Canis lupus familiaris: one gene and its partners. The protein of the gene in region 1 interacts with the protein of each later gene in a pairwise test. Links are inferred from orthologs where the notes say so. Each region holds a gene or a part of one and is shown on either strand. Other genes may lie near its edges.

Region 1 (11,285 bases):
GAGATGTGTGCGAAGCTTCGGGCTGTGGCCAGCACATTGCCGCGGCCTTCCCCGCGTCCTGTCGACAGACACAGCTTCTCGAGACCCGCCCTGAGCCCACCCGAGCACCCCACGGGGCTGTGCCCCCGGCACCCCCGCCTGGCGTATACCTCTTTTCTTTTCCCCAAATTATTAAATGTTTCTTTTTGCCATCGTGCTGTCCTGGCCCTTGGCTCTGGTGGACCAGCAGTCCTGGGCTGTGAGCTGGGTCCCCCAAGCCCCACGTCCGGCCCTGCCCCCTTCCCTGGGACCACTCTCCTCCTGGGGATCAGGTGACACTTGGGCTTGGCCCTGATGGAACAGAGATGGAGGGAAGAGCCCACTGGCCCTGAGAGGGGCCCTGGGATTCCAGAACCCCGGGGGCAGCCTGGCCGCACGCAGGGGCACGCACAGACACGGGGTCGGGGAGGTGGCCTTCAGCACACGGGACCCCAGGGCTCACGACCTCCCCAGGCCCTGTAGCTCAGGGGTCCCCCAGCCATCCATGGCGACCTGTCCCCACCCTGACTCTGTGCCTGACGGTGGACTGGGTGGGGTGGGCCCCGCACCCGCTGCAGCTTTGAGTTGCTTCACCTCCCAGAAATTCAGGTAATGGGTGGCAAGCACGAGCCTCGAGGAGGCCAGGAGGACGCCCCCATGCGTCCTCACGGGGGCCAAGCCCCTTCTGGGGCTGCTCCTGGATCTGGGACGGTTGTTCTTTCTTGAGTCTCCCCCCAAATGTGGAAAGAAAGGAGAGACGTTTGCTTTAAAAATATCTTCAATAATAAGATCCTATTTTGGATGAAGAAGGAATGGAGATAAATATGAAAACATCTTTTTCTTTTTTTGATAAAATACAGTAAGGATATGTTTCCAGGTTTAAAATTAATGAAAATATAAAAAAGAAACTGGCTCCTGTTGCCTTGAGCCTAGTTCTGAGGTTCTGGGTCTGATCTGGGTGCAGACAGCGTGAGTTGGAGGGTGTCCTTGCGTCACAGCTCGACAGTACAGAGGCTCTGCTTCCCATCTAAGGCGTCTGTCAAGGTCCCCGGCTGCCTGGGGAGGCTTCTGGATCCGTGACCGCTGCCCCCCCGGGGGGCCCCTCTCCCTGCACAGGAGCCCCGGCAGGAGCCCCCGGCCAGCCAGCGTCCCGGAGGCCCTCACACCTGCCCCTCGGCGGGACCTCGGGGGCTCCCGTCCGGGGCCGCCCCCAGGGGTGCTGCGCCTGTGGGCGTGCCGGACGCCTGCTGACACACACACTGGTGCGGGTCACCGAGTCTTTGCCCCCCGCCGGGGTCCGTGTCGGTGCTGCTGTGCCGGGCGGCCTAGGCCTCGTGCGAGGACTGGGAGCTCCCCCGGAGCAGCAGGGCGCGGTAGGTGGGGGAGCTGAGGAAACGGGGGTAGGAGTCCCGGTGCATGAGCGTGTAGATCTGCAGCTGCGCGTCGTCGAAGGTGTGCGCGGACGGCTCCTGCATCTTCTTGTTGATGCCTTCCCGCACCCGGGAGTCCAGGCTCACCTGTGGGGCAGGACGCGGGGTCAGGGGCCCGGGGTGTCCCGCCCTCCCCCCGCCCTCGGTCCCCAAGGCGGTGCACCTCCTTGGGGGACAGGATGGACACGTAGTCCTCGTAGATGAGCCTGGCCTTCTCGTCCACCACGTGCTGGTTGGCCTCCGCTTTGAGCTCCTCGCACGCCAGCCAGAAGAGCATGTTCTCCTCGCTGTACTCCGTGCGCAGGAACTCCCGGAACACGCCGCGGCCCGCCGGGCTGTGCATCAGCTTGTCGAACGACTGCGCCCAGCTCCGCACCTCCTCGGGGCTTGGCGTGGCGCTGTGGGCAGTCCCGTGGGGAGTCAGGCCCGCGCCCCGCCCGCGCCCCCCCCCCCCGCCCGCGCCGGCCGCACCTACCACGCCTCACAGCTGGGCAGGGGCTGCAGCTTGTTGTCCCGGGAGGCCCGCCACGCACGCCGCCGCTCCTCGTTCCTGGCGCAGACGGAAGGTGGCACGGCCTGCCCGGCGCACCCGGCCTCGGCCCACGCGTGTGCACGCACGGGCCCAGACGCGGGGCGTGAGGGCGCGGGCCGGGCCGCAGCCGGGCAGCCCCCCACCCCCACCCCTGGGACCCAGGCTGCACTCCAGCCCCACCCCTTCCTCTGTCTCCCTGGCCGTCCCCCGCCCCGCGCCCCCAGAGGCGCTGCTCCTGCTGCAGGAAAGCCCCGGCCGGCCCTGCCTGCGTCCGTCCCTCCCCGGGGTCACGACCTCTCAACCCTAGCTCCCACACAGGCCTCCGTTCCTCTCCTACCCCACCCGCTGGACCCCACAGCCGAGTCCTCTGCGAGGCCCGATTCACGACCCCGTCCCCGCTCAGGCCTGGGTGCTCACGGCTCAGCGGGTCCCCCTCCAGGTCCCCACAGCACCCAAGTTGGGCCAGGCCTCTGTGGCACGTGCACGCCCCCGACAGCCCTCCACAGGCCACAGAGCCGGTGACCGTGGGGCCCACCCTAGGGAGCTGCTCGGGACGCTCTCCCCCTCGCCCCCAGGCCGGGGCCCTGCTCGGTGTCCCCCAAGGGCTCCTTGCTCCGTAGGCCCCCGGGGCCAGCTCCGGCTGAGCACACAGGCGGTGGCCTGGCCAGGTGTGCACACGACACGCCCTTGGGGGAGCCGCCGGGCACGAAGGCCTACACGGTGTCGGGGCAGTGGCCACAGTCAGCAGGCCCGGCAGCCCCTGCGTGAGAGCCGTGGGCAGCAGAGGCGTCCTGCCCTCGGGTGGCCCCTGGGAAGGCACCGGAGGGTCTGCGGGCAGGACGCTGGGCCCCAGGTGTGTACCCCTCCCCTCCCCCATCCCCACGTACCAGGTGTGTACACCCCCGCCCCCCCCCCCCCCCCCCGCCGTCCCCACGTACCAGGAGCAGCTGCAACAGCAACACCAGCACAAGCAGCAGGGGTTGCGGCTGGGGGCAGCCGGGGGGGCCGCGTCATGACTGGACATCGAGGGGGGCCGGCCTGCCTCCTCTGGCCCTGCGTGCTGGCGACACGGGGGCCTCCTCAGCTCCAGCCCAGAACCTGGGGCCTGCACACCTCCCCCCGACTCCCCTGGTGTCACCCTTCCGGCCTCCCAGGCAGTCGAGGGTCCCCCAACTCCTCGTCCCCCCGCCCCGGTTCCCACAAGGGGGCAGAGGCAGGGGTGGAGGTGGTGCACCTGCTTCTCAGCCTCATGCGGGGTGGGCATGGGTGGGTGGAGGAGGTCGCCCGGGCTCCGTGGTGCTGGCTCCGGGACCCTCACCACAGCCTGGGGGTCTGAGAAGAGAGGTGGGGGTTCCCGCTGAGAACCTGAGACGACAGTCTCTACTTGCCTCTCCCTCCGCCCAGGAGCCCGAGGGGCCTGCTCCCCTGCCCCCACCTGCACCGGGACTGCGAGCAAGGGCAGGGGCGGTGAGGAGGAGCCAGACAAGATCTCCACAGGAGGTTCTGGGACACCCCCGTTTGCTCGGTCCCTGGGAAGCCGGAAGTCTGGGTTCCTCTTTCTTGGTTTCCGGCTCCTGGCCCCTCCCAAGGGGCCTGGGGGGCCCCAAGAGTCTGGGGCTATCAGCCTAATGCTCCCTCCATTCTGGGTTTTCTGTAGGGAGTGGGCGAGGTGGGGAGGGCTTGCCCCCCCCCAGGTGCCCAGATCTGCCCTCAGCCCCGGAGGGTTCCAGCCTGTTCGCAGCTGCCCAGCCTGCAGCCTGCGTGTGGGGCAGGACTTGAGGGTCTGGGGGTGTGGGGAATGCAGCAGGGCACAGTGAGGAGGGCCAGGCGCCTCGTGGGGGATGCAGGGCTCCTGAGGCCCAGACGCTGCCCCTGGCACCCCAACCCCCAGCGGGCACCTTACCACACCCAGGGCCTCCCAGCCTCCCTTCCCCCAGCCCCACCAGGCGGTGGAAGCCAGTGCAGCCTGGGGTGCCAGTCAGGGAGGGGAGCGGGGAGGAGGGCAGCAATGGGTCGGGGTGTCCAGCTCCCAGGGTCAAGGTGCGGGATCCCCAGACGGGGTGCGGGTCGGCATTGTTTACAATGCCTGTGCCCACGTTTCAAGGTGCAGGCGTGCAGGGGGCACTGGGCCCTGAAGCCCCCAGCGGGGGTGAGGAGCCCGAGCAGCCCCCCAGCCCCCCCCTTCCGTCCCCAAGGCCAACCACGGATCCCAGAGTCCATGCGGATCCCAGAGTCCACACCTGGGTGGCCGATCAGTGCCCCAGGGGCAGTCTGAATGCTTTCCCACCACAGCACCTGCCTCTGCCTGCCCTGGCCGGGGTGAGGACCCCAGGGCCCGGCTGCACCCCCGCACAGCCTTTGTGACCCCCCAGGCCTGCCCCCACCCCCGTCCCGGTGGCCAGCAGGCTCAGGACTTGCTTTCACTTCGTTTTCTCATGTAATTATCACATCACCCCTGGGCCTGTGGCCTTTCAACCCCCGCCTGGCCCACGTGGCCTGCTGGCTGCTGGGGTCTCGCAGGTGGGAAGGAGGGAGCGGCGGGGATGCCGGGGGCGCCGGGAGCCGTGCTCAGAGGTGCAGGGCCTGACTCAGGCACGCTCAGGGCACCCTTGCCTCTGGGGCCTGGGCACGCAGAGGCCCTGCCGTGACCCAGATCTAGGGCAGAGTGTGGGGTCCCCTGGGCTGAGGGCCCTGGCCAGCTGCCTGCTTCCCCTGAAATCATGGACATGGACGGGGAACCCTCAAACTGGGCCCCAGCCCGCCTTTCCTTCAGGGGTCTAGCTTGTAGGGAAGGGAAGGGGTGTGGCAACCCCCGAGGTCTGGTAGCCAGGCAGAGAACTGCTCTTCCTCCTCCGCACCCCTACCCGCTGCGAGTGGGGGCAGGGCCCCATCCCCCTCCACTCCCTGGCACCCCAAGGCTCTGCTCTGAACTGGAGGAGGGGCCAGGTCTGAGGGCGCCCACGTGCTGGGGGTCCTGGAGTGGATGCCTACACTGGCCCGGGGCTGGCGGGGTCTCCTGTTCACCCGCTGTCTCCTGAGGTCGCCCGGGGTGTGCACAGGGCTCCTGCCCCTCCGCCTGGCAGCTGGAAAGGGGCTCGGTCCCCTTTCCCAGCCCTTGGGCTCTGGCCCCCAAGTCTGGGATGGGGGAGGCTGGACGGGCAGCGAGCCTGGCCTCTGGGGACCGAGGCTCCCTTGGGAGCTGCTGCTACTCTGCTCCACAGAAGGAAAAAGAACGTCCCTGAGCCCGCCCAGTCCAAAAAAAGAATAAGAAAATGTGACAATCCCAGAAAAAAATGCCATAACCTTTAGGCGGAGGGTTGACAGGGGCTCCTTCCCCTGCTTCTGGCGCCCCTGCCTCCCCTCGGCCGCCCCCCGCCCCGCCCCCGCCCCGAGCGATGGGTGGGGCGGCCCCGGCCTGGGCCCGACCTCTGTGGCCCGGGGACCCTCGCCCGCCCCCAGGGCCGCGGTGCCGCCGACCCGTCTCCCTCCTCCTCCCGCCGCTGCGGGGTCTGCCCGGGGGGCGCGGCTCCGACTCGGGCCCGACGCCCCCGGGGCCTGGCCGCGCGCCCCACTCACCATCGGCCCAGGGGCGAGGCGCGGGCGGGAGGGCCGGTTCCCGCGGGGCCCCACCCGCTGCCGAAGGGCGCGCTGCAGCGACCCGGGTCCGCGGGCGGGAGGCCCTCCGCGGGGTGTGGAGGCGGCGGGAGCCCCGGTCAGCCCGGCCAGCCCCGAGCGAGCGGCTGCCAGGCGCGGGGCGGGGGCGCGCAGGGCGTCCCGCCGGGCCCTCCCCACCGGGCCGGGGGCGGGAGGCGCGGAAACCGGGGCTCTTCCGGCCCCCCCTTGAGCAATCACTTCCCCGGGCTCCGAGCTGCAGAAAGGGGAACCGGTGGCGGCGCCCCCTCCCCCCGCGCGGGGCACCGGCTCCGCTCCCGCCGCCGCCCGGGTCCACGTGGGCCCGCGGTCCCGGCGGCGCGGTCCGGGCTCCAGCCGCCCCCCCCGGCCGCCGACCCCCCGCGCGCACTCACCGGCCGCGCTCCCGGCCCCGCCGCCGCCGCAGCCCCGCGCACAGGTCCGGCCGCCGGTCGGGGAGGGGGCGCGGGCCGCAGTGCGCAGGCGCGGGCCGCACTTCCCCAAAGCGCGGGGCCGGGACTTCCTCGCGCGGGGAGGCGTCCGGCCCGCCCCGCCCCGCGCACCCCCGCCCCGCCCCCGCCCCGGGCTCCGCGGCCTCCCGAGGAGGCGGGTCCCCGCACCTGCAGCCCCGGGCGCTCCCGCGGGGGCCCGCGCCCGCCCTCCCGCCGCCGCGCGCCCCAGGGGCCCTCGGCCCTCCCCGGCCCCGGTGGTCGGCGCGCCCCGGCCCTGTCGAGGGGCCCGGCCGCCCCCGCCCCCGCCCCCGCCCCCGCCCCCGCGCCCAGGCCCCGCCGCTGACCCGGTCACTAAGCACAGCGCTCCGGGACCCCCACGCGGAGGGCCGACCTCCCACGCGCCTCGCTCGGCGGTGATGGGTGCCCCAGAGGTGGGCCCGGCTGCGCGCACGGACCGCGGGAGCCCGGGCTGGAGGTGCGCCGGGGGGGGGGGGGGGGGGGGTGCCGGGATGCTGGGGTGCCGGGGTGCTGGGGTGCCGAGGTGCTAGGATGCCAGGGTGCTGGGATGCCAGGGTGCTGGGATGCCGGGATGTTGGGGTGCCAGGATGCTGGGGTGCCGGGGTGCTGGGATGCCGGGGTGCTGGAATGCCGCGGAGCTGGGATGCCGGGATGCCGGGGTGCCAGGGTGCCAGGATGCTGGGGTGCCGGGGTGCTGGGGTGCCGAGGTGCTAGGATGCCAGGGTGCTGGGATGCTGGGGTGCCGAGGTGCTAGGATGCCAGGGTACTGGGATGCCAGGGTGCTGGGATGCCAGGGTGCTGGGATGCCGGGATGTTGGGGTGCCGGGATGCTGGGGTGCCGGGGTGCTGGGATGCCGGGGTGCCGGGATGCCGGGGTGCTGGAATGCCGCGGAGCTGGGATGCCGGGATGCCGGGGTGCCGGGGTGCTGGGGTGCCGAGGTGCTAGGATGCCAGGGTACTGGGATGCCGGGATGCAGGGTACTGGGATGTCGGGATGCCAGGGTACTGGGATGCTGGGGTGCCGGGATGCCAGGGTGCTGGGATGCCGGGATGCCGGGGTGCCGGGATGCCAGGGTGCTGGGATGCTGGGGTGCCGGGGTGCTGGGGTGCCGAGGTGCTAGGATGCCAGGGTGCTGGGATGCCAGGGTGCTGGGGTGCCGGGGTGCTGGGATGCCGGGGTGCTGGGATGCCAGGGTGCCAGAGTGGTGGGATGCCGGGGTGCTGGGGTGCTGGGATGCTGGGGTGCCGGGATGCCGGGATGCTGGGGTGCCGGAATGCCAGATGCCAGGTTTTTGGGATGCTGGGGTGCCAGGGTGGTGGGATGCTGGGGTGCTGGGATGCCAGATGCCGGGATTCCGGGATGCTGGGATGCTGGGTTGCCAGGATTCCGGGATGCTGGAGTGCTGAGATGCCGGGGTGCTGGCATACTGGGGTGCCGGGGTGCCGGGATGCCAGGGTGCTGGGATGCTGGGATGCCGGGGTACTGGGGTCCTGGAGTGCTGCAATGCTGGAGTGCTGGTATGCTGGGGTTCTGGGGTGCCAGGATGCCGGGGTGCTGCGATGCCAGGATGCTGGGATGCTGAGGTGCTGGGGTGCCAGGATGCTGGACGCCGGGGTGTTGGGATACTGGAGTGCCAGGATGGTGGGATGCCAGGGTGTTGGGATGCCAGGGTGCCCAGATGCTGGGGTGCCCAGATGCCGAGATGCTGGGGTGTTGTGGTACTGAGGTACTGAGATGCTGGGGTGCCGGGATGCTAAGATGCTGTGATGCTGGGGTGCCAGGATGTTGGGGTGCTGGGATGCCGGGATGTTGGGGTGCCGGGATGCCGGGGTGCTGGGGTGCCAGGATGCTGGGATGTTGGGGTGCCGGGGTGCTGGTGTGCTGGTGTGCCGGGATGCTGGGGTGCTGGGATGCTGGGGTGCTGGGGTGCCAGGGTGCTGGGATGCTGGGGTGCTGGGATGCCGGGGTACTGGGGTGCTGGGATGCTGGGGTGCCGGGATGCCAGATGCCAGGTTTCTGGGATGCTGGGTTGCCAGGGTGGTGGGATGCCGGGGTGGTGGGATGCCGGGGTGCTGGGATGCTGGGGTGGTGGGATGCTGGGGTGCCGGGATGCTAGGGTGATGGGGTGCTGGGATGCCGGGATGCCAGGGTGCTGGGATCCTGGGGTGCCTGGATGCTGCGATGCCGGGGTGCTGGGATGCTGGAGTGCTGAGATGTCGGGGTGCTGGGATGCCGGGGTGCCGGGGTCCTGGGATGCCAGGGTGCTGGGATGCTGGGATGTCGGGATGCCGGGGTGCGGAGGCACCGGGATGCTGGGATGATGCGGTGCCAGTGTGCTGGGATGCTGGGATGTCGGGGTGCTGGCGTGCTGGGATGCTGGGATGTTGGGATGCTGGGGTGCCAGGGCGCTGGGATGCTGGGGTGCTGGGGTGCCAGGATGCCGGAATGCCAGGATGCTGGGGTGCTGGAGTGCTAGGGTGGTGGGATGCCGGGGCGCTGGGATGCCGGGGTGCCGGGATGCCGGGATGCTGGGATGCTGGACTGCTGAGCTGCCGGGGTGCCGGGGTGCTGGGGTGCTGGGATGCTGGGATGCTGGGGTGCCAGGGTGTTGGGATGCTGGGGTGCTGGCATGCCGGATGCCGGGATTCCGGGATGCTGGGATGCCGGGATGCCGGATGCCAGGTTTCTGGGATGCTGGGGTGCCAGGGTGGTGGGATGCTGGGGTGGTGGGATGCCGGGGTGCTGGGATGCCTGGTTGCTGGGGTGCTGGGATTCTGGGATGCTGGGGTGCTGGGGTGCTGGGATGCCAGATGCCGGGATTCCGGGATGCTGGGATGCTGGGTTGCCTGGATGCCGGGATGCTGGAGTGCTGGGGTGCTGGGATGCCGGGGTGCTGGGATGCTGGGATGCCGGGGTGCTGGGATGCTGGGGTGCTGGGATGCTGGGATGTCGGGGTGCTGGCGTGCCAGGATGCTGGAATGTCGGGGTGCTAGTGTGCTGGGATGCTGCGGTGCTGGTGTGCTGGGATTCTGGGATGTCGGGGTGCTGGGGTGCCGGGGCGCCAGGATGCTGGGGTGCCGGGGCCCTGGATGCCAGAATGCTGGGGTGCCAGGATGCTGGGATGCTGGAGTGCCGGGATGCCGGGGTGTGGGATGCCAGAGTGCTGGGATGCCGGGGTGCTGGGATGCCCGGGTGCTGGGGTGCTGGGATGCTGAGGTGCTGGGATGCTGGGATGCTGGGGTGCCAGGATGCCAGATGCCAGTTTTCTGTGATGCTGGGGTGCCAGGGTGGTGGGATGCTGGGGTGCTGGGATGCCGGGGTGTTGGGATGCTGGGGTGCCAGAATGTTGGGGTACTGGGATGCTGGGGTGCTGGGGTCCTGGGATGCTGGGATGCTGGGGTGCTGGGATGCCGGGGTGCTGTGATGCCAGGGTGCTGTGATGCCAGGGTGCTGGGATGCTGGGATGCCAGATGCCAGAATTCCGGTATGCCAGGATGCTGGGGTGCTGGGATGCCTGGGTGTTGGGATGCTGAGGTGTGGGGTGCCAGGATGCTGGGATGCCGGGGTGCTGGGATGCCGGGATTTTGGGGTGCTTGGATGCCGGGATGCGTTATCAGAGCGGGGAGGATGGTGCTGGAGGCGCTGTGGGGCGCCGGGAGATTGTAGGCCAAGCCCGAAGGGAGCGTGGGACGCGGTCACGGAGGTGACAGGCCTGGGGGCCGGGGAGCCCCCTCATGTTGTGTGCCCAGGGACCCTGGCCGGCATGCCCGCAGAGCTATCTGGCAGCTCGAGTGGACAGGCTGGCCCGGCCCGGGCAGAGGCTGGAAGCCTGTCCAGCCGGAGGTGGCTGCTTCTCACTTAGCCTAGGTCACCGTCGGGGGAGGCAGGTCCTCAGAGACAGGCCAGCATCTGTCACACAGCCAGTCTGATCCCACAGTGACTGGCGTGGTGTCTACACCCACCTCCTGAGAAATGTGGGGGGCAGCGGACGGTGGGGGGAGGTCGGCACACCTCTCCCCCTCATGCCGTTCATTGTGCACTCCCTCCACCCTCCCCGCCCTCCAGACACTGTACAGTCTCCGGCCACTCCCCTGCACTCCGCTCCCCTCGCCCCAGCCCTTCTGGGTCTCCTGCAGCTTCTCTGGGGAGTCTGTCCCTGAACAGAGCGTATCCCCGGTCCACAGGAGGAATCCAGATGGGCTGGGCAGAATCTTGGTCAAAGTCATGCAGCAGGTGATGGTCCGGGACTTGAACCCAGGACCCTCTATCTGGGACGTGAATCCAGCCCCGGGAATCCACTTGCTCCCTCCGTCTCCCGGAGCAGAGGCCTCCCCTGGGCCCCACAGAAATGTCCTCAGCCACCTTCCCTGGCCTTCTTTGCAGAGCTGGGCGCCTTCCCCCGTGCCAGCTCAGTGCCCGCTGCTCAGCTGCCCGTGAGGCCACCCTCTTGCTGGGCTCCTCCACGGGGCTTTGTGTTCTTGCCTGATGTGGAGTGAGCACACCCGTATGGGGCCCTCTCCGCTCGCTCACAGCCCAGGTGAGACCCTGAGGTCTCTATTTTAAAGAGAGAGAAATGGAGACTCAGAGAAGTGATGAAACGAGATGTGCATTTACCAAACAGATGAACGAGGTGGTCAGCACGTCCCCAGGACACAGTGCTGCGTCCCGGGGGGTCAGGGCTGCCTGTCGTCCTGGCCTCCACTCCTGGACGGCAGGAAGCATCTCCTTCCCCGCCCGCCTGTCCTCAGCCCAGGCCACCCGTTCTCCCTCTGTTCCTCCTTCCCCAGCTCTGCGTCCCCCCCCCACTGCCCCCCCCCCCCAGAACTGCCACGGACACCAGCTCCACACACGGTTCTGGGCTTGCCTCCAGGCCAAGGACAGCGATGGCACAGAAGGATGCGGGGTGCACAGGGAGAAGGGCTGACGGAGGGCCACTCACAGGCCTCCCCGGCAGGGGTGGGGGCTTGTCTGCATCCCTATAGCCCCCCTGCCGCCCTGACCTCTGCGGGCCCCCACGTCTGCCACCCGCCTAGGGACTAGGAGGGAAGAGAAGGGGAGACGTGGCCCGGTTCTAGGCTCTGCAAAGCGCTCGTGTCAGAGGGAAGAGTAAGTACCCACGGGAAGATCTGTCCAGAAGGTTGGGAGAGACTTGAGTTCAGAGGGTCTGCAGGACGTGGACTTGTCAGAGTGGGACCAGGCTGCTT
Region 2 (3,080 bases), on another chromosome or scaffold:
AGGTGTTCAAACAATCTGGAAGGAGCCTGATGCGGGCTGAACAAACTTGCTGGACTATTCAGTAGTGCTTTCCACCACATGGAGATGCCTCTAACCCCACAAGCCAGAGTCAGCAGACAGGACAGTGGGGTACGTACCCCTCCTCCCCACATCCTGCAGCACCCTCCAGGCTCTCCACCTCTAGCGTCCTGGCAGAGGTGTCTTGGGGTGTGAGGGGTCTGGGTGACCCTGGGCTGAGGTGTCCTGGGCTAGTGCTGGGTGGGGGTCTCGCAGCCATCATCGCCCCCAAACCTCAGCCTCTCTAGACACATGGGCCAGACATGGCCCCCATCTCTTGCAGTTTCTTTCTTTGCTTGAGGTTGTTTATTCTTGATGGTCATTTCCAAGTGATTCTGCATGAATGTGTGGACTTGGAGGAGAGAAAGCAAGCTGGGCATACAGGTGTGTCTCCGGGCACGCTCCCACAGGCCAGCCGCACACATAGCACGCCAGGACAAAGCTTAGCTCATTCAGGATATTTTATTTTCTTAAAGTAGACAATCTTTAACTTTCATACAATCACCAGCTCCTCTTTCCCTCCGTACATCTCTTAAAGTCCTTGGCTGTGATTCCACGCACTGACCTTGGACATACAGGTACCGAACAGAGGCTGAGGGCAAAGGAGATTTGGCAAGGGCTCTGGCGGTGCCTTCCCTCTTGACGGCGGGGGTTCATATTTACATGCGGCCCTGGGCCAAGGTCCTTCGGTGGTGGCGGGTGCCACAGGCCCTGGGACAGGAAGGGCCAGAGTGCGAGGTCCCAGCAGGGCCTCCCTCAGGCTGCGCGGGCTGAGCCTTCACAGGAATTGTCGTAGCTCTCAGCCCGTCTCAGGTGTAGGGCGTGCGGGGGCCGGGGCCCCATTTCTCGCTCCCCCTTTCCTCCACTTGCAAAGCCATGGATAATTTACTCTTTAGATACCAAGACATTTAGCTATTGTTCATTCGCTCCTAGGTGAAGAACCTTCTTTAAATACATCACATTTATTTTTCTGAAATAAAAACGAAGCAGAAACCGCACCGTAACAAGAGGACGCTGCACGAGCTTATGTACAACGCGGCCCCGCGACGCTGCCGTAGGGCGGCCGTCCGCCCCAGTGTCGCTCGGGAGCAGAGGGACAGACTCATTCAGATAACAACTTTTACACTCAGCAAGCCAGACACAAAAAAGGACCACCTGAAAAAAAAACATAGGTTTTGAAAATCTGCATTTTAAAAAAGAATACTCAACTGCATTTGAAATTTTCCGTATTTCTGCGAAACACCACGAGATTTGGCCAAAAAAAAGGATGTCGGAGAAGAAAAAACCAGGTTTTGATTTATAAAACATCAGACTAGTAGAAGAAAAGCTGGAACCCAGCTGGCCTAGTTTGAGACAAATGGTGCCACTCGTGTTATTGTGTGGATTTTTGCTGCATATTTTGAAGCTGTTTAAAAAGAGCTGTGAGTGGCTAGAGGTCTGGTTAGTGCTGTCGTCTGGCCTTGCACCCGGGTTCCAGAACAGCCGTGGTACAGGGCGGGCCAGCGGGGAAGGCGCATGGACCCTGCTCCGGTCCTCCCTCCGGGTCAGCAGCAAGGTCCCCAGTCCGACGCTTGGGCGCAGCCGGCTTCCTCCGGATGACCCAGCCGCCTCTCCTCTGAGTCCCACGGGGACCCCCATGCAGAGCAGGGCCGACTCGGGAAGGCAAGGTGACGGGGCAGGAAGGGCCTGTAGTGAACCTGGTGACAGCGGCCGAAGTCTTCTAGAGGCTCCAGCGCTCCGGGGAACTGCCATCTCCAGACCGTGTGTGTGCGCGTGTGTGTGTCTACCTACCTAGCAATCTATCCATATATATTTATGTTTGCGGGAACGGGGGGCCATTCCTCAGGCCCCCGTCTTCTGCCCCTGGGCTGGGTCTCCCTAGCGCGAGGGGGGGTGTGACACCCCGGGGGTTTCGCCACAGGCCAGCCGGCCAGCCCGGCTCCTCAGCAAAGGCCTATGTACTTGAGATTGTTCTGTATGATGACGTCTGTCACCGCGTCAAAAACGAACTGGATGTTACTGGTGTCTGTGGCACAGGTGAAGTGGGAGTAGATCTCCTTGGTCTCCTTGTTGCGGTTCAGGTCCTCGAACTGCCGCTGGATGTAGACAGCGGCCTCCTCGTACGTGTTCTGGCCCTTGTACTCAGGGAAGCAGATGGTGAGCGGAATGCGGCGGATCTTCTCCGCCAGCAGGTCCTTCTTGTTCAGGAAGAGGATGAGCGAAGTGTTGATGAACCAGTTGTTGTTACAGATGGAGTCAAAGAGGCGCAGGCTCTCTGCCATTCGACTCTGCGGGCAGGACAATTCCGGTGTTAATCAGGGGGTGCAGTGTGGGAAGGCCCCAGGCCCGCAGCCCTCCCGGGAGAAGGCCCCCCGGAGGGTCCCCCTAGTACCCTTCTGCCCGGCAGGCCTTCTCTGCCAGGCCAGGTCTGTCTTCACCTGCGTCCCCTGGGCTCTCGAGCCCCTAAAGTTGCTGGCACCGCCCTCGGCACCTTGACACCTGTTTGTAAGGGGCTGTCCCGCTTAGCTGGCCCCTCCTTTGTGGCGTGGGGCTGCTGCATGGCCTCCCCCCCGCTGTAGGGACCTGTGCCACTCCATACTCACGTGGAGGGCCCCATCTCCTGCTGTCCCGTGCTAGCTCGGGCCTGGAGCTGCCATCACATCACGTCTCTCTCTACGTGAGTGTGGCCAGGCTCCTGCCCCGCCGGCAAGTCTGGCCCTCTTGGGCGTCGGCCTGTCTTCCAAGTCTCGATCCTGTCACCCGGTACCGTCAGTCCTCAGCCCGATCTCTGAGCGGAGAGCCTGCGCTCCCAAGGCCCAAGGCTCCAGTCCGGAGAGTTGAGGAAGGCCCGGACCCCCCTGCCCCTGCCACGCCACTGGGCTCAAGTGAGGACAGCGGCCCAGGAGGCTCAGAGACCCCAGTGGCACTGCCCTTTATTCACACCCCTTCTTTCAGAGGACCTTAAATGGGTTGTAGTGACTGAGTTTTTAAGGAACATAACGCATCTGACTCCCAAGCCTGCC
Region 3 (11,185 bases), on another chromosome or scaffold:
AGGACTTTCTGATATTTTCTGTTTAAATCTCTAATCTCATTCATGAATTCTGTTTGCTGTATTACCATAAATAATCATCTGGCCTTTGCTTAAACACTTCAATCTTTGATTCCTCCCCCCCCCCTTTTTTGATGGCTTTAATTGTTAAAAAGTGTTGTTCATATGGAATTGAAATCTGGTATTTTTTGCCTTAAGAATTCGTAAAAGCCTTACATCTAAATACCTATCTTACCTTTAATGATCCTTACTTAATATGTCAGAAGACAGCTGTCACAGTTCCTGTCTTCCCTTCCCCAGCCCAGAAGGACTCTTCCTAATTCTCATAGAGTGGGTGACAACTTTTAATAAAATGCACAATCACTAAATAAAGCATGCCAAGTGTTCCCTGACCATCAGTGGGAAAAGGGGCCCTATTACATGTCTCTTGACACCGAAGCATTTCATAATTCCTTTCTGAGTTCCCAGAGCACATAGTTATGTGAACTGGAACTTATATTTTCTCCATCATCTGATTTTTTTTGTAGTAGTTTGAAAACATACTAACTTGGCTACTCCTGGATTTTTCCTTGCTACTCACAAATTGCCTGGCAAACGCTTCTTTCAGCAACATAAATGACTACCTGTTCTGCTTTACTAAGCTGTGTCCCTTCTGATTAAACTTCAGTATTGTCTTTGGTGATGCCAATATTTTTCTACCCCACGTCACACTGTTTTGATGCACTTATGTTTAGCTTTCTAAATGTTTTAAGAAACATTATTTTACATAAATTTTGAAAAGATCTCGTTCCATGGCCAGGTAGGATCATTGTTATCATTCTGCAGTTTTAACATTTGTCTTGTCTTGGGCAATGGCTGTTTACTGACTCCTTGCTGATTTGTGTGATTGGGTGAGCAATTAGCTGTGAAACTTTAAATGAGTTGCCTCATCTCTCTGTGCCCCAGGGTCTTTTTATACAAAACAATAATATAGGTAGAATAATTTCTAAAGTACACTCCTGCTTAGATTTATTACCTTAAAGTTCATCTACAGACATCTGAATGTCCTCCTAATGACATGGAAGTGAATATTTTAATTAGCCTCTTAAGAAAAAGAGACCAAAAAAAAAAAAAAAAGAAAAAGAGACTACATTTTGTGAAGAAGACATTTTTGAATGCAACAGAATATAGTTTATAAATATACTTTCCAAAGTCTCTCATGTTTTTTCTTCAGGCTTCTTTGTAGAAAGTTTGAAGAGAATGTGATCTTATGACCCATACCACAGGGCATTAGTGTTTTCTACCAAGAAATTTTATTGAAATTGAATAAATATGAGGAAAGCTCATTAAACCTCCTAAGTAAGGGATGCCTGGGTAGCACAGTCAGATAGCAATCGACTATTGGTTTCAGCTGATGGTCATGATCTCAGGGTCCTGGGATCAAGCCACACGTGGGGCTCTGCACTCAGCATAGAGTCTGCTTGAGATTCTCTCTCTCCCCTTTCCTGCCTATCCCACTCGTGCTGTATCTTTCTCTTTCTCTCTCAAATAAATCTTAGAAAAGTATTTTTCACTTAGTAGACTTTTTTTTTCTTTTTTTAAGATTTTATTTATTTATTCATGACAGAGAGAGAGGCAGAGACATAGAGGGAGAAGCAGGCTCCATGCAGGGAGCCTGATGCAGGACTCGATTCCAGGACACCCCCGGGACCGTGACCTGAGCTGAAGGCAAATGCTCAACCACTGAGCCACCCAGGTGTTCTGAAAAATATTTATCTGAAATGGATGGAGAAAATTATGTTTGATGTTCAATTAATAAAAATGACCAAATTTAAAAATTTCTCATATATAGGTAGTTATTTGGAAAAGTGAATAGTTGTTTACTGCAATTAGGTAAATGGTGCTAAGAATGACTTAAAACTCTATTATGTTAGCTTTTATTAAGGCTTGTTGTACATGCATTGCTTGCGTACATTGCATTTATCTTGTAATTTACTAAAAAGGGAAACATATGCTTGAATAAAAGGTTCCCATGCTGAGTTACTTAATTATTTTTCACTGTGGGTTCTATGGGAGGAAAAAAAAATTCACAAATTGGCAGCAAAATGAATTTATACTGTCAGCAAGTACTCTGCTATCCTGTGTCACCAAGTGCTTCTCTACTGTGTACCTTCCTTGTGTTTGCCATCACTTTATAAAAATGTACTCTAATACTTTGGGGAAATGCCCTTGAGAGAAATTAGGGATTGTCCACCCAGTTAACATAAAGCTACAAGTCTCTGGCTATAGAGAATCTCTGTGAAGTTAGCAACTTCACATCTCCCCTATTTTTGGATTAACTGTATTTTTACCTGAAAACTGGAATTGTGTTATGCAGCATTATAACTACTCCCCACATATAGTTATTGAGTATTGGAAATGTGTCTAATCTGAATTGAGGTGTGTTGTCTATATAAAATAAATGCCAGATTTTGAAGACTGAATATGAATAGAAATATGAAATGTTTCAATAATTTTATCTTGATTACACATTAAAAGGCTATCTTATGTACAGGTTAAATAAAGTCTTTTTATACTAATTTCATCTTTTAAAAAAATATGGCTAGTAGAAAATTTAGAATTGCATCCTTGTCACAACTCCTTTGGAAGTGCTCACCTACTGTGGTTGGTTACCTATGGATCAGAATAAGTATTTGTAGTCTCAAAACTTAAGGAAAATTTAATAACTTTATATGCATCATTCCTTCATTTAAAATATTTTGCATGCTGTCTTCAATATGCATCATGAGTATTTCTACTTCATAGCTGTGTTTGTATCCTCTGCCTGCATTAACAAACACCTGCTCCCACCTCCTGCCCCTTGGCTTTAATGTATACACATCTTAAGGTCTCCTGAAAATTTCAGATCATTCTGTAAAGCTATTATCGTTTATTCCACATTGATTTCTCCCTCTCTGAATTTCTTTTGCTTCCATAGAGAATATCAGAAAGCCAACATTTAATGAGATTCTCCCTTAAAATAATCTCTAGCAATGTTAGTGTGTTTCTTAGAAACATTTTGGGTGGGAGGGGTAAGGCATACATTAGTTCTCTGTTTGTAAAACTGATGAGTGCACAATAAACCGTCAGTGATAGCAAATAGCTGGTTAATGTGTCCCCTCATGACCTGTAGGTGTAAGTCATTCTTCTAGTTTCCTGGAGCCTTGACCGCTTATTACTAATATTACAAAACATAGACCTGCGATTTAAGGTTATGCTCTTTTGGTTAAGCCATTTTTTTAAGTGGTGCTTCAGAGAACTAAAAGCCATGACCCCAATGAAAAACAAAGGAAATGCATGATTGCACTTTTCGTAATCTAGAATGCCTCCCTCTGTACTTTTAATCTGTAATGTCTCCCTTTTTTACTTATTAAAAAAAAAATGGTCTTTGAATGTTCAGGATGATGCCCGCCAACTCTTTGTGCTTGCTGGAGCTGCTGAAGAAGGTTTTATGACTGCAGAACTTGCTGGAGTTATAAAGAGATTGTGGAAAGATAGTGGCGTGCAAGCCTGTTTCAACAGATCCCGAGAGTACCAGCTTAATGACTCTGCAGCATAGTAAGTAATCATGACTTCAGAACTAAACTATCATGAATAATTTCTTGCAAGTCAAATATACCTCCAAGTCAGTGCTATTGCAGAACTGGCTGACACATTTCTTGTAAAACTCAGGATATTCAGGATGACAGTATTTGAAAACTTTTCTGGATTTTTTGGTGTGTTTGTAGATAGCATTGCTGTTATTTCCTTTGTGTTCGGAGGTGTCTCAAGAGACTCACCCTTATGTAACTCTAATTGAAACATTCAGAATAGACTGTTGGCAGCATATTTCCAAGAAAGTAAACTGGAACTTTGCAAAGTTCACCCTGAATTTGAGCGTATCTCAAGTTTGTGTGGGGCCAGCCCAAGGGGAGGGGAGCTGATTTGGTTCTTTTCACTAAACTTAAAAGTGCCTGAGAAGAATTATTTGTCCAGTGACAGGCACCCTGCATGAGATGTACCTCTTTTAGAGGGGTGTATGGTGATCCCAAGATGTTTCCTCATTGAGTAAAATATCTCTACGCTTGAAAATTGTCAATTGTATGTGCTCTGTTGCATTAGATATCATTTACAGATAGCTAAGTACAGTATTTTGTAAGAAAAACCTGCCCTGATTTTCTAAGTGGTGGCCACTGAGAGTTCATAAAGCAAAACCTGGTCAGGGAGCTTTCTGCTTGGTGATCTAGCTACAGTAAAAAAAATAAATAAAAATTAAAAAATCAAGTGTTTGTTTCCATAATCTAGCAGACACAGTCAAAAATGTCAGATATGAGTAGCATTAACTGGTCTTAATACATGTGCTCTGTGCTCCTTTTACTTTATTCCATTTTCTTGACAGCTACTGGTGTTCAGGGACACAAATGAGGGTGAGAGAGAAGATGATGGTTACTAGAGAGGACTAGGTAAATACACCCATTTCACCACAGTGAGAAATAGGTTACGGCTCTCCCCAATTATCACTCAGCAGGTCATTGGCTACACATAAGAATACTCAGTTTCTGTTCTGTGATTTAGTGTGAGGGAGTAAATACACCTTACTGTGTAACCCATACCAATTTTTATTAGTATTTCCTATTCTATATATTTTTTTTAAGATTTCATTTATTTATTCTTTGGAGAGACAGAGACAGAGGCAGAGGTTAGAAGCAGGCTCCCTGCAGGGAGCCCGATGTGGAACTTGATCCTAGGAACCCTGGGATCACGCCCTGAGCTGAAGGCTCAACCACTGAGCCACCCAGGCGACCCCTAATCTGTATTTCTAATGCTTTATGACTATGTAAGCTATATAATATATACATATTATTTTGTATGTATTTTCTATATGTATATGTAACATGTTACTGAATATGTAGCTCCCCTCTCCAACTGGTGTCATCTTTTCTTAGGATATATGCCTTGACTCACAGATAGGTCTTTGCCTCCCTGTCTTACATACTTAAAATACAAAATATTTCTTTCAGAGCACTCACAGATTTACATTTGAGGTAATTTTTATTTGTGTTGAAATGATTTTCTGTCTCTGCCACTACACTGTAAATTCAGTGCGGTCTGTTTTCACCCTGTGTGCTTTCTCCATGACACACAGTTGTCATTTGCTATGCTCTTGTTTAATAATGAGTGAATGAATAAACCATACTTTACAGAAGCTCGAAGAGAAATTAGAAGAAAATGATTTACAGGAAGAACACGATTCTTAGACCATATTATTTGCTTTGGCACCACCAGCTCCTGCAGAAAGAGCTAAATGGGAATCACTCATGTTGAGAAGATTGCTCTGAGTAGAGCCCAGCTAGGGGAGCTTTTGCAGTAATTAAGGGGTCCTTCTCAGAGATGATCGGTTGAAGTCACTTTCCCTGTATGATGGGACTTCCTGGACCACTGCAGTCTAATGACCAAGACTTGTCCCGTGTGCTCAAGTATCGGGGTATGCACTGGAAAAATAAGTCATTTTGGTTCCCCAGTATTTCATTACTAGTAGTTCTGACTTCACGATGGCAACAAGGGAGCCACTTTTCAAGAATGAAGGAAGTCCTAGAAATCTTTTTCTCCATAGTGGTCACAGAGCCTCTTGATTTCTGAGTTTTGGGCTAGAGATGGGAGATGTTGCCAAGTTGCCCACTGGGACTATCTAACTACCAATTTACTTGAAATTCATGATCATTTTAAATAATTGGAGTTTTTCCCAATGCCGGATTAATTTGTGTTATTGAAATATGAATGTGCATTATTTTTAGAGACTATTGAGTAGCATTTTTAAGCAAATAAATGTATGGGAGTAATCAAAGTGCATTTTAAATAAGATTAACACACTATTTCAGAGGGACAATTCGTAAAATATTGCCATGTGTTTATTAGATTTTTTTTTTTACAATACTGTATATCATTATATATGTGGAATTAAAAACACAGAGTACTAGGGGATTATCAGCAATGTGATAATAAGATTATTTTAAGTTCAATAAATACAATGCAGATAACTCCAGGTATGCTCTATGAATTCTGGTATCAATATCACATACATATACTTAACTGTCTAAAACACTGTTGATTACTAATTCAGTGTTTCGATAGCTTTTCAACTCCATCTCTACAAATCAAATATTTATTGAGCTCCTTTTGTTTGTAAGATCTGTTCTAAATGGCTAAGGAACAGTTTCAGAAGATAACGTCCATTAAAGTTGTAGTAGTTGGTGCCTCTGTAATAAACACAGATGTGAATCTTCTAAATTATCTTTGACCACTGCACTCTAGTATCAGAAAACACTGTTGGGAAGCTTCCCATTTAGAATCAATTCCAGACTTCTCATTTGAGTTTATGCACAACTTCCTGGGGGCCTTACTTTGTGAGAAGCAAGATCTGACAATTCCTGCCTCCTCATACTGTTTGACTACTCTCCTGATCTGGATTGCATTCTTTTTTTCTGTTCACATCCCTCATCATTCAGATTTCTGTTTACAACCCTCCCCACCCATGAAGGCTTCTTTCACCACTCAGGTTCACATTACTCTCTTCATACCTGGACTTTCTATAACATTATTTACTATATAAAATGACACAGAATAATTTACAAAAATAATCGCATGGTATGACACCACTGCATTTTAGTAGCATAACATATTTGACATTGTTGGCAAAGAGTATTGAACGGGTGGGTGGCTAAAACCAGTGAGAAGTAAAATATGAATATATTTTTTTAAATATTTATTTATTTATGATAGACATAGAGAGCAGAGACACAGCAGGAGGGAGAAGCAGGCTCCATGCAGGGAGCCTGACGTGGGACTCGATCCCGGGACTCCAGGATTGCGCCCTGGGCCAAATGCAGGCACTAAACCGCTGAGCCACCTAGGGATCCCCAAATATGAATATTTATTTAGAGAACCAGTAAAATGCAGAGTAAAAGAGCGTGCGTAGTGTTTTCCTATTTGTAACTTAAAGCTGGCTGAAAAAGAATAGTATTGAATTTAGCCTTTGGCTGGAGATCTACTCATTACTTTCTCAAAAACTTCAGTCTTTGTAACTCCTCAACAAGAGTAATGTCCAGAAAAGAAATACATGCTACTTAAAAAAAGTGTAATAAAGACTTTTAAGAAGCTGACTCCTAGTGTACAATTGGTTGTGTGTGGTTTTTAAGAAATTATTCTGTTTTGTTTCTAACAAGGAGAATTACTAATTCGTGTCCTTAGGAAACAAAGTACACAGTACTTAGAAAATGTTAAAAGGGCTTTGTGGCTGGAGAAGTATACATTTTCATTTCAGTGGGAATTGTATAACATATAAACTTAAATTGGTTGTATTTTTACATCATTACACAGAAATATAAAAATTTCCATTGATTTATGATATTGCATGCATCAAAATGTTTTACTTCTTGATGTAGATGATCTTTAAGGGCTATATTAACTATTATTTTATTTATTTCTTCAGCTATTTGAATGACTTGGACAGAATAGCACAACCAAATTATATCCCAACTCAGCAGGATGTTCTCAGAACCAGAGTGAAAACAACAGGAATTGTCGAAACCCATTTTACTTTCAAAGATCTCCATTTTAAGTAAGTAGCTTTAAAGCATATCATTTACAAATTTAGGTATAAAATACCTTGTTCAGTAAAGAAAGGTGATTAGACAGACAATATTTTGGATGAAGAAGGACAGGAAACATTCTTAGGAATATTTAATTTTTATTTAAGAAAAAATGAACATGCAAATCTCTTGTTTATATTTTCAAAGTGATTTAAATAAAAATAATTTTTAGCTTTTATTTCTAAATAGAAAATATTGCTCTGATATTGCATATTTGGAGAAAGTGTTAACATGTATTCTTAGAATTTTACTGATTGTACATATGCTTATTTATGGAAATGGTAAAAATGAAGGGTACCTTTTAAAAGTTTTTATTCATTCAAATGTTTGCACTTTTTCATGATGAAAAATGTCATTTAGAGTATGCTAAATACTAACTTAATGAAGTTTGAGCAGAGAAGTACTGAATTGTAGCCTGTAGAAATGCAAGGGATCTCAGAACTTGTTTTGTCCAATACACTCATTTCATAATGAATGAGACTCAGGGAAGTTTAGTGAAACATTAATTTTCAGACCTATGTTCCTCTTTTTTAAAGTATGAAAAAAGTTATTGGACTGTGCTTCAGATAGCCCTAATGCTCTGAAACAGTTTTAATGAAGCAGAATTTCTGAAAGCACCTAAAGTTTCCTAGTCAAAGATGAAAATATTCTTGAAGGTCACTGTTACAAGTCGTGGGAAGTACAGTTACATATATGCAACTATACTGATGCAAATGTACTTCTGATTCCTTCTATAAGTATCTTATTTTTTAGGAGAGAGAGAGACAGAGCAAGAGCATGCGTGCACCTGAGGACATGGGAAAGGAGGAGGGGGAGAGAGTCTTAAGTAGGCTCAATGCCCAGGATGGAGCCTGGCATCGGTCTTGATCTCCCAACCCTGAGATCACGACCCAAGCTGAAATCAAGTCAGAGGCTGACCTGACTGAGCCCCCCAGATGCCCCTCTTCTATAAGTATTTTAAATATGTTTATTATCATTAGTCACTAATTTATCCCACTAATTTATCAGTGGTTCCTGTAATTGATTTTCCAGAAAACCAAAATTGAATTTTAATTTTCCATAGCAGCTTCCCTCCACCCTCCCCCAAAAAAAACATTGCCTGCTTTTTTTAAAAAACAGAATTACAATTCATAGTTTATCTGACCATGTAACTTTGTACTTAAATACATGATCAACTTTTTCATCTCCTTTTAATTCCTTTCTGTTTTCGCCAGTTTGTAAGCTGGCAGTGGACATTCTTTGGCTGGCAGTAGCTCTTACCAAAATCATTTACTTTCTTTTAATCTGTTCAGTACTTCTAGGATATTAAATGACCAAAGTGGGGAATAGTAAAACATTAATATTTAAATAGTCTGATAGGTCTGATCTGGGAACTATTATTATTACATTTATCTTAAAGTTATAATTTTAAGGAAACTTCACTGTCAGAATGAGGCTTCAAAGTTTTGGGGGTTTTTTTGTTTGTTTTTACTTAGATTCTGATTTTTTTTTTTTTTGCTTTTTGTTTACTCTTTTTTTAAACACCCTATTTTAAAAGCAAGCTTATATTGTTATGTTCAGCTAATGGCTTTAACAAATACAGTCTGAGGAGAAAATGCACGGAGCTGGGGAGAACGAGGGCAGAAGGAGACTTAGAATGATTCTGCAGGAGTTCCTGTGTTTCTCGTTTTCGTGTTTTGTATTGTAATTCGTTCTTTCATTTTAACAGCTGATGTAAAATTTCGGTTTCGCTTAGTATTTTGTATGATCAGAATTAAATTCAAGAGGAGGCAATAAGGCATTGTAATTTAAGAATACATATTCTCACCTCTCTGACTAGGCGTTTGTGGAAAGTGTCTGCGTGGATCATTTTGCTTTAAGGAATCAACCACTTTACTTTTTGCCAAATAGGGAATTATAGCATCCCTTCTCTTATAAAATTGTAAGATAGATTTCTCTTCCTTTTCTATAGTCGTATAAATGTGAAATGGGTTTTGGAGTACGTTATATGTATAGGGTGGATATGCCTGTAGGGTCATCTGGCTTCGTACCAGTCGGTCTTGGTCTCATAGGACAGTCTGAGAATATCAGAACATCTCAGAATCTTCAATATCCCTGTATACCTTTTCCGTCCCCTCCCCGAAAAAAAAAAAAAAAAAAAAAAGAAACCTAAGAAAACTCAAATTCATTCCCTCTTTGATGCTAGAAAAAAAACTCTCATCTGTTCATCTGAAGGAGAACATATTATTTTGTTCTGTTTTTGGTTAATTTAAAAAAAATCGGAATTTTAAGATAATTCTAATGTGTGAAAAAGGAATACTGCCTTATGCACAGTTATTTGTAACATCAGATTTTAGTCATTTTTGCTCCTTGGCTTAATGAGTTAAGACCAGTGATTCCCAAAGTATGGTCCCCAGATCAGCAGCATCAATTTTGCCCACCTGGTGATTCTGATCTACACTAATGTTTGAGAAGTACTTGTTTAGATGGAAGGTTCTTTGTTTATGACAAATCTATGAATGACCCTCGTTCATTGTTAAAATAAGCTGAGATTTCTTCTGTAGTTAAAATACTGGATTATCAAGGTAAAGCTCCCTTACACGTAACATCCCACAGCATAACTGGAAGACCTAGATCTTGAACAAGGAAATAAGGTTTGTCTATTATCATTTGAAGGCATTTTAAAATATTCTGTAGACGTAGTTCATTCACTCAACAAATATTTATGAAGTATGACAAAGTCTTGTCTTTACATTGTTGGGACAGGAGGAGGCAAGAATGAAGTAAATATTATAATTATCAGGAGGTAATAAATTGCTAGAGTGAGAAATAAAAGCAAGAGGGATATATTCATTCCTAGGGTAGCTGTCGCAAGTTTCCACAAGTGAGGATGGTATAAAGCAACATAAATTTATTCTTTCATAGTTCTGGAGCCTCCAAGTTTGAAATCCACATGTCAGCAGGACTGTGTTCCTTCTAGAAGCTTTACAGAAGAATCTTCTCTTGCTTCTGGTACTGGTTGGAAATGCTCTGCGTTCCTTGGCCTTGGTCACATGGCCTTCTTCCCTGGTTTTCCTCTGCTTCTCTCTCTTTCCTCATATTTTTTACGATAGCAACAAGGAGAAACAAAACCATACTCTGCACACTTTGCTAGGAAATTTCCTCAACTACTCTTCAAGTTCATCTCCTAACATCCAGTACTAGAGCCTTCTAGCAGAGGTTTTGTGACTCTACACCAAGGATTACCTTTTCTCCAGTGTCCAAGAATGTGTTTCTCACATTCCTTCTGAGAACTCCTCAAAAACATCTTTAACATTCACGTATCCTCTAAGGTAGGAAAGGACCCCACCATCCTTTGCACTCCCGAGATCTCCAAAATTGCTACCTTCTGTGTTGTATTTCTAACCAACCATCTTTTCAGAGTAGTCTGGACTTCTCTGTTGAGTGATTCAGGATCCTTCCAGCCTCTGCTTCTTACCCAGTTCGTTCTATAGCCACTTGTCACAGCAGCTCCCCACTGTGGGTCCTAAAATTTATATCAGTCAGGCTGGTCCATTTCAAGG

What was found.
Region 2: the proteins of RGS19 (region 1) and GNAZ interact in a two-hybrid assay, tested with the Homo sapiens proteins (2 studies listed by BioGRID). The link is inferred for Canis lupus familiaris from reciprocal best matches to the Homo sapiens genes RGS19 and GNAZ.
Region 3: the proteins of RGS19 (region 1) and GNAI1 interact in a two-hybrid assay, tested with the Homo sapiens proteins (2 studies listed by BioGRID). The link is inferred for Canis lupus familiaris from reciprocal best matches to the Homo sapiens genes RGS19 and GNAI1.

The regions. Positions count from the first base shown.
Region 1 is NC_049245.1:48,359,165-48,370,449, forward strand, and holds RGS19 (regulator of G-protein signaling 19), read right to left. Parts: upstream 6,060-11,285; 5' UTR 6,006-6,059; intron 5,680-6,005; exon of another isoform or gene 5,560-5,679; coding exon of another isoform or gene 5,557-5,559; intron 5,234-5,556; exon of another isoform or gene 3,313-5,233; 5' UTR 3,245-3,312; coding exon 3,215-3,244; intron 3,041-3,214; coding exon 2,919-3,040; intron 1,999-2,918; coding exon 1,924-1,998; intron 1,847-1,923; coding exon 1,612-1,846; intron 1,536-1,611; coding exon 1,344-1,535; 3' UTR 779-1,343; downstream 1-778. UniProt on the Homo sapiens protein: Inhibits signal transduction by increasing the GTPase activity of G protein alpha subunits thereby driving them into their inactive GDP-bound form. Binds to G-alpha subfamily 1 members, with the order G(i)a3 > G(i)a1 > G(o)a >> G(z)a/G(i)a2.
Region 2 is NC_049247.1:27,903,148-27,906,227, reverse strand, and holds the end of GNAZ (guanine nucleotide-binding protein G(z) subunit alpha), read right to left. Parts: intron 2,346-3,080; coding exon 2,001-2,345; 3' UTR 501-2,000; downstream 1-500. UniProt on the Homo sapiens protein: Guanine nucleotide-binding proteins (G proteins) are involved as modulators or transducers in various transmembrane signaling systems.
Region 3 is NC_049239.1:20,210,279-20,221,463, forward strand, and holds part of GNAI1 (guanine nucleotide-binding protein G(i) subunit alpha-1), read left to right. Parts: intron 1-3,415; coding exon 3,416-3,573; intron 3,574-7,483; coding exon 7,484-7,612; intron 7,613-11,185. UniProt on the Homo sapiens protein: Guanine nucleotide-binding proteins (G proteins) function as transducers downstream of G protein-coupled receptors (GPCRs) in numerous signaling cascades.